2 linked regions of the Drosophila melanogaster genome follow. The protein of the gene in region 2 interacts with the protein of the main gene of each other region in a pairwise test. Each region holds a gene or a part of one and is shown on either strand. Other genes may lie near its edges. The genes, in order: Jhbp1 and Ccp84Af.

Region 1 (5,561 bases), 1.7 Mb from region 2:
TGCGCCTTTTGATTTATTTAATTAAATAATTAATAATAAAATTTAGTTAGTTTAGTTTTGCATATAGCAAAAGTAATAAATTTGTATCCGCCTAAAGGGTGAATGATCCCTTAAACATCAAGTTTGAATTTCTATACCTTTCATATTTTTATTTAAATAAGGGCATATGTTTGGTATTAGCTAACAAATTGCGTATTCGCAATATCAAAAACTAGAACACTATGACCTTTTTTCCAATTTTTTTTGTATATAATGATGTTTTCTAACTATGCAGATGATACAGCTGAAGCACAAAACCCTAAAATTAGTGTATGGTAAATCTAATCCGCATACTAAGATATCAACCAAATTTGAACTTCCTTAGATAGCCGTCAGCACATTATAACCAATTTTCTTGAGCAAATATTCCAATTTACGGGTAGAGTCATGTGTACTATTACATGACATGACGACTGGATAGTTGATTTTTGTATATGCAAAGATTTCCCATGTTACGGCGTTGTAAAATTGATAAAAATGGAAGAAAAGTATTCTCCATCGTAAATTTCTATATGTACATATTCAAGAATTTTTTATTGATTTCACAGGGTGAATACGACTCTACGCAATGCAAATAATAATAATTGATGATTAAACTTATGAGTTTTATTATCATCGGAATCTAGGACATTATTGACCCAGACAAATGCGCAGAGTTTACACCATATACATGTACAATTTAATACTTGGTTCATAGCATTGGAGTGTAATTTAGAGTTAAATACATATATATACATAAGACTAACGAACTACAATCTAAGGGATTAAGGCCTAGTCCACGTAGAATTGCTCTACAGGAACATTCTTCAGGAGCTGGTTGGCGAGTTTGCCGAACTCGCTAGCCAATTTTTTCTGCAATTGAGCCTGCATAGCCTCCAAAACGACTTGAGAGTTTTCCCGCAGAAACAGATTGGTGGCCTCCACTGTGAAATAAGAAACGATATTGAAATCTCACATTTTGGCAGGGAATTAAGGGGACACTTACGCAGAATTCGATTGTTGTTGAAGGCACCTGAGATGCTCATTTTCACATCCTTCACATCCAGAACCAAGCTGAGAGCATCGATGTGGAGGTAGTTAGCGCCCTTGAAGGCGTGAATGGATGTCTTTCCTGTGAGATCGGCACTCACACCCTCGAAGTTAGCATGGAAGTCCCCACCTCCGGAGGCGGGCAGGATCAGCAGGACCCCGGAGCTCGTGTATTTAGCCTCAATCTTTAGCTTGGGCATCACGATCTTCGCCTTGAAGGGCTCGCTTCCTTCGCTCAGTTTCAGGGATGTCACCTTGAAGTTGCTGGCCCCGAAGGCCTCCATGTTCTTCAGCGTGATCTTATACCCCTGGGGACCCTCTGTTAACTGCAGGGCAAGGGTGTCCATCTTAAAGGGCTCCACAGAGGGCAGCTGCCAAGGGACGAGACAGTGGGATTAAACGCGTATTGCAAACATTTTAACGTTTTAATTTGGGCTTTGACCTGAGTGTGCAATTATCATAAATTCATCATATCATGTGATTCGGTAATGGCTTTCGGTGGGATTCACCCTTACAACAAAGTTTGTTTAGGAGAAAATAAATTGACAATCTGCCTAATGACCTTCAAAGGGGTTCATTTTGTGTTCATTGTTGCACCACTGTGCGGAAAGTGAACGTCGGATTTTTCCTGCGAAAACACTCATTATGCAAGTGCGAAACTCACAATGACTTTCATTCGAGCTGCTCTTACGCAACTCAAAACAAGTTTTCAAAGAAATCACCTCTGGCACTCATAGGAGAAAAGTCACTCACCTGAATATCAGGAATGCCATTGGCCAAATATGGCTTTAGGTGTTCAATAGCTCCGATAAAGCAGTCCACCAATTTCGGGTCGTTCCTATGACATTGTTTAATATAGGGCGCTGTAAAAAATAATGCGAAAATTTGTAGTTGGTTATAATCATAGGGCATAAGTCGTCACCCCTAAAAGTTCTAATTTATGAGTCCAAAAAACAAACAAATAGATTTGGTTTGCTAGTTCTCACGGCTTTAGCAATCTGGAAATTAGCAAACAAGATGGTAGGAGGTGATAAAAACAAATAAAAAAATATCAAATATTCATTGATTTGTTAATGTTTTTCAGCGCAGCCGGAAGAAAACACTCAGAATTGCCAACAAAACGGAAGATCAACACCATCCGCCGATTCAATTCCTGTAAAGTTCATCGACTCTGCAGAGACTCTGCTCAGTGCAATCGCGATGCCGCAGTGACCTCCAAATCCGATCGAGATCAAAATCAAGATCTCGAGTCGGCTTAGTTTCGATGGCAAGGCTGCCACGGAGTGCACGTCTAGAACCTGTTGTGGCCGCAATTCTGTGGCACATGACACACATTCGCGGCCAGAGCGACTATTATTTATGTATAGCTGGTTTATCATTAACGCGGACTTGGTGCCTGGGCAGTTTCATTAGCGCCATTCGATGGCAAGGCGAGCTGCAGCGGCAGCGATTAAGATTTCAAGTTGAAGGCTGACCAACGGCCACGGCGAGTCGTTAATTAAGTATGGATTTGGTTCACAGTCCGCATTTTGAGCGCTTACATTTGTGAGCTCAGCGTGTTTCGAGTGCGATGCGGAAGCAAACTTCGGCTAAAACTCATCGGCTGAAATGCCGGCCGTTTGTCCCCCTTTTGTTTTGTTTCTTGCATTTGCCTAACAAAACCATGTCGCCTCACGCAATTAACATCCCGTCGAGTGCTTTGGTGGAGGGGGGGGGGGGAGGAGAGAGAAAGAGAGAAAAGGCTGTAAACTTGACATTTGACATATTCCAAAAGATGTGATGGCATTTCGCAAACGCTCCACAGCAAGTGTGAGAAGCGAACGAAAGTGCTAATTCCACTTTATACGAGTAGAATGCGCCCACAACTAAGCCCTCTTGGCAATTTATGAGTTCGACAAAAATCCTGGCGATCAGTTTAATACGCAATAAATTAGGTAAGTAATATACGCCTGTGTATATTTAAGTAGAGACTCTTGTTAATATAAAGACACAAATCGAACCAGAGAATTTGTAAAAAATCTGAGGCTTATTCAATGAGCCATGGGTCGCCGAACTACGCCGAAAAGCTACGTTTTTCAGGTCACCAACAACAATTTGCATTTTTAAATATTCTCCCAAAACAATTTGTAATCATCTGGCTCAGTAATTTGTTGTATTTACTGCACTTCGTTAGTTCAGACTATTAGTCATTCATCTTCAAGCTAATAACAATAGATCAAAGTCTCCTTCCATTAACAGGCCAATCATGGCAGCACTATTATTCAGCGGATTCTAATTGGCAGTACTAATCTTTTCACTAATCATTTTCTTCACCACCACCGACCGCTTAAGAGAGACAACTTACGGGTCTCGGCCTGCACCATCCGCAATGCTTGGATCACGATTACTAGGCACACCGCTTTATTCATTTCACTCAAGAACAACTTCCGGATATGAATCTCAATCTGCAGCAGCACGCAACGAAGTCGGAATCTGAAGCTATCAACTTTCTGCGGGTGGAGTGCTCGAACGTCCGTCGATGCGAAGCTGAGAACTTAAACTGCGAGCTGCTTGCCGGTCGATAGCCGATTTTAAAGCCCCAAAGCTGCTGATCGCAGATGGCAGATCGCAGAAACGAGATGCAAACCAAGCCGATCTCCATCCCGCCGTCGACGTCGGCAGAGAACTTAGAGTCTGCCGATCTGGGCAGATACATATATATCTATATATGTATATAGATATGTATATATAGAGTTGGAATCTGCATGGGCTACTGACTGACTGACTGACCGAATGTAAAGCTGTCTTCTTGGCTTCTGTGCAAGATTTTGGTTTGTTTGCCCACTTGTCGAGTGGCATAAAAGCAATTAGGCAACTCTATTTTCGCAACCGCCTGCCTGCAGAGGTGCAGATAAACTGCACATTTGGTCAACCTTCGGCCGTGCGAACCCTGATCGCGGCTTGCGAAAGAAATGGATAACTTCTAATTGCTCGTGAGCAGAACCCATTCGAAATGAAATATTCGCGGAGCAAACCTATTTATCTTTTAAGCCATAAAACGCATCAAGCGAGTCGCTTCCTTTTATTCCAATAACCTTGGGATACATTGAATTCGAGTCTTCTTAAAACCGTAACGAGGCGAGCCGCGTTTACCTGTTTTCGTGAAAATGTCTCCGTCGCTAATTAAAAATGTGTGTGGCGCTTTAATTGTCCATTAGAGTGAGATAATAGTTGTGTGCTTATACGGCGAGAACAGAAATTAGATAGCCCTGACTCTTGGAATACCCTGTTCAGCGTAATACCCCTCAATTTGAAATCTATATCAGGGAGAAAAATGTCCAATACTCGGACTTCTTTTAGCCAGAGCTCTTAATTATAGAATTCTTATCCATTCTTTCATGTTTGCCGACTAATATCATTCAGTGTGTAAATTGAACTCACAGCCCAAGTGATTGGTTGTTTACCTCCCCCCAGCCAACTACCCACTGACTAAGCTTGCAATGTTCCCCTAGACTTGTAGAATGTTTGCTTATAAGCAGTGGATTTAAATGCACAGTTCAGATGGAGAACTAAAAATACTATTACCTGTTGTTCATCGAATCACTTTCCTCGCGCCTAATATGAATTATTTATGGGCTACTCAACTGAACGGGTTCCAACATAGATCCACTGAGTTCTAAATGAAAGTTCACCAGGAAGAGCAACCTACTGGGATTTGTTAACAAGCCAGACAGTTGGCAACCAGCTTACTAATCATACTCATCCATATTTTTTCTCTGTGTGCCAGGTACTTAGGTTTGCGGAGAACTATGGCACCATACTTTGCCCTGCGATCGGAACATACTGAACTCTTAAACTGTTTACAATGGCCCTGAACACAAACAAATAGAGTAATGGGGAAGTATCGGGGAACTCGATGGGAAGTCTTATTTGTCATACAAAGGCCTCTGCGCCGATTCTAAAGCCCGTTGTCACGTCTATGTAGCTCTGAATGCGGGTAGAGGTGGTTATAAATACATCTCAATGTGTAAATGTGTCTTCACAAAAGACGGCTGCGAATAATGACAGCGCTTAGTGAAATGCGAAGAGGAGGAAGCAGAATACATTCAAAGTCTTATTGTTTTATTTCCGAATTGTTGTTCTCAGCGATTTCCACCTCACTAAGTATTTCGCTTGGCCATACGAATGCCTTAATTATCCAAGTGACTAAGCATATATGGAAAGGTGTTGGGGTGAGCTCAGAAGATGTCAAAAACCAAAACCTATGGCAAATTCCACTCATTAATAGTAAACACACTTTGCAGGAACTTAGATCAACGCAATCCACCAGCAAACCAGTTATCCCAGACACTTCCAGACTCCACTCGGAACCACTTTCAATTCGCACTTGATTAAGATTCGCTTGCTCCTCAGCTTCCTTGTGACCCAGAAATGTGTCATTCAACCGACCGAGCAGCGCAAAGGGACGACTGCATTCACAGTCGAGTGGTTTTTGGTTAACGTTGACGTTGACC
Region 2 (3,403 bases):
CAAGTGGACCCCAATAATCGAGGGACTTGGCGAAAGGTTTCTGGCCACTTCAAAGCTGCAGCATAGTGACCTTAACTGGTTTTCAAGAGCGGACCGCATTACATGCATTAAATTCAATAAGCCTTCGACGCAGATGGTTTTATTGAAATGTTCCGATCGATGCGTTTCTTTCCGATCGGATGTCTACCCCAATTTTCGTTGATTGGTGTAAAATGGGTCGGACGCGAACGCCTGATCAATTTGGGCCCTTAATGACTTATTACCGGCAGAAAATTGATTACAAAGTGCATATGCTGGAGAGGGATTTAAGAGGAGCCAAGGTGATGCAGAGTAAGCAGCTCCAGTGACGTTTTTCGTTGGTACCAGGCGGGCTCCCACTTGATGGTCATCTAAGTTGCTTACTGGGTGCTTTTGTGTAACTTGTAATTCTTAGATTTTTTCAATATTACGAATTTACTTTAACAATACAATATATAAATATATGTATAATATTTTGATTGACTAATGCCTGCTAATGAGCGAGATCCCTTACAAGACGTAAAGAAAAATGCGTTTCGATTTCTTTCAGCTTACAAATATTCAACAATTTATTTGATCTACAAACGGATTCAACAAATCAGTAGGAGAGTTCCTCAGTGGTGCTGGTGGTAGGCCACTGGGATAGGGGCAGCAGCCACGGCCACAGGAGCCACGGTCTTCACCACGGTCTTCACGTGATCCAGGGGAACGCGGTTGACGACGGCGTTGAAACCGTTGACCGGGTCGGAGGTGTACTGGACAATGCGCTTGTAGCCATCGGAATCGATCAGGGAGTACTCGCCATGGACCACGTCGCCATCACGCTCCTCAACCTGACTCTTCGAGTCTCCGGAAAGGGAGTCCTGGACATCGTAGGCGAACTTGTACTGGGGATGGGGATCGTATTCCTCGGTGGCCTTGGTCAGAACCGGCTGGGCGTGGGCAACGGCGACAGGTGCTTGGGCGTAGGTGGCCACGGCGGGGGCGGCGTGATACACCTGCTGGACGGGAAGAACTCCGGCACTGGCGGCCGAGATGAGGGCGAGAACAGCGAAGAACTGTGGGAGAAAAGAGGGGTAATTGAAAGGATCGGATATTCATGTAAGGATTACCCACCTTGAAGGCCATGGCTCTGGACTTGGAGGAGGGCTGGTGGTGGTTATCCGTTAACTGCTGCGAAGACGGTGAAGCTGTGGAATGATTTACTGGAACACGAGCTTTGCTTTTTATACCCACTGAACGTGTGCAAAGCAAAATGCGAATAACGAATTGAAACTGATTAATTCGCTGTTGGGCAAATCATTTTTGTCACTTTTTATTTTATACATTTATTATTGTATTACCGCTATGCTATTTACCTTATTACTTTATCGACTGGAATATGGGCACTTACAACTGCCCACGCCGGGGGCCAGAGATACTTTTATGCAATCCGCATCCAAATCTAGTGCGGCTTAGTGTCTTGGGAGAGACCCTCGGATTTTGGTGCCTATTGCGAATTAAATGCTTTCACCATTCTGCCTTGAGTGGTATATCATGTTACCGGGCAGCTCAAAACGCTTGGAACTGACCTACACTGATTACATACTTTGAATTGAAAAGCACATTAGACGATAATAATAAATATATTTCAATGCACACTTCAAGAATCAAGAATAAGTTAGTCTGCTTAAAAGCAAACTGATGGATTAAATAAGAGTTTTTACGGATACTAGTCAAATCATGGGAACAATTAAGAAAGCTTTGAAATATGCTTGAACTGAATTTCAATTGAGTTGGTAAAAATATAACTTAATTTCTAAGCCCAAATAAAACCACAATTCAAATTAACATATCAAATCACATTTTATTATCATAGAAACAAAACAAGGGTTCAAAATAACAGCGGTCGCATGGGTGTTTACAATTGGGCGACGGTGTACGCAGGGGCGGTGTACCGCAGAGGCGTGGCATAGGCAGCGGTACGCAGAACGGGAGCGGGAGCAGCCACCGCCAGAGGGGCGGAGCGGACGAACGGAGCGGCAACTGCTAGGGGAGCGGACTTGATCAGAGGAGCAGCGACGGCCACTGGAGCGGAGCGCACAATGGGAGCTGGTGCGGCCAAGGCGACAGGGGCGATGGGGGCGACTGGAGCGGCCTTGACCAATGGGGCAGCAACCTTCAGCAACGGCTCGGCGGCCACAACAGCGGCAAGGGGTTCACGGCGGACGACGGCGTTGAATCCGTTAATGGAATCGGCGGTATAGGTCACGGTGCGCTTAAAGCCATCGGCGTCGATCAGGGAGTACTCGCCGCGGACCACGTCACCATCGCGCTCCTCCACATGCCCCTTGTTGTCGCCGGAAAGCGTGTCCTGCACGTCGTAGCTGTAGGTGTACTGAGGATGCGGATCAACCTCCTCCAACTCAACGGTCTTGGCCAAAACTGGCACCGGAGCAGAAGCCACTGCCACTGGAGCAGCAGTTCTAAGGACGGCGCCATGGGCCACGGCGAACAGAGCCAAAGCGATAACAATCTGCGGAATAAATTACACTCTTTTTAGGATTTTTTTTTCCAAGATAAAAAGGCGAAGGCAGTCTGGTAATCCACTAGTAGTCCCCCGGAACGTTTATCCTCCAATTGGTAGCACAAACCTTTGCTGCCATTGTAGTTGGATGAATTTGATTAACTGCTGTCTTGAGCCGAAGCCAAACACTGAATGTCTGACCCATTGTGGGCCGTTTATTTTATACGCTACTTGGTGACATTGATGACACCTAATTGGAATTCATTTTTGGCGCATCACCTCGAGCGGCGCCGGTGGCATGTAAAAATTGTCACGCACCTTCTTCAGTTCTGCCAATTTCGATCGGTCGAAATAACCAGCTGCACTTAATTGATTACGCCAAGCCAATTTTAATTACTATTTTCCTTAAACTTGGAGTCTTCTTATTCAATTTTGTTGTTTTTCTTTTGGAAAGTACAACAAAGTAAGTGTGTATAATTGAACCCATTTTTTATAAAAAGGGAATAAAAGTTCTGATCTTATTTGTTTAAATATTTGCTAGTCAAATTATTAAATACGTTTTGAGTTTGTATCCATAGGTTTGTCTTGGTGAGGTATAATGAATATTTTATGTTGGGATCATAATTTGATTATTATGTATTTAAAACACATTTCCTACAAAGTTGTATAATTTTATTAACCTACATAAAATATTACAAATATGTTACAAAAAAAAGTTTTAAGCATGTTAAAAAGCTGTTCGCCTGTGAACTATCTTCAAATTTTGGAAACCAAAGGTGGGTGATAAAAAATAATAATTTTAATTTAATAAAGCTACGATAATTTAGATGTTTTGAGTTAATATCTTTTTAAGCGACCTTTTTGCCACAATATTAACTG

Evidence for each region.
Region 1: the proteins of Ccp84Af (region 2) and Jhbp1 interact in a two-hybrid assay, tested with the Drosophila melanogaster proteins (one large-scale study listed by BioGRID).

The regions. Positions count from the first base shown.
Region 1 is NT_033777.3:4,963,499-4,969,059, reverse strand, and holds Jhbp1 (juvenile hormone binding protein 1), read right to left. Parts: upstream 3,616-5,561; 5' UTR 3,477-3,615; coding exon 3,413-3,476; intron 1,932-3,412; coding exon 1,822-1,931; intron 1,440-1,821; coding exon 1,025-1,439; intron 963-1,024; coding exon 811-962; 3' UTR 575-810; downstream 1-574.
Region 2 is NT_033777.3:6,689,041-6,692,443, forward strand, and holds Ccp84Af (Ccp84Af), read right to left. Parts: upstream 1,200-3,403; 5' UTR 1,147-1,199; coding exon 1,135-1,146; intron 1,077-1,134; coding exon 633-1,076; 3' UTR 562-632; downstream 1-561. Other genes in the region: Ccp84Ae, read right to left, coding at 1,919-2,533, 2,652-2,663.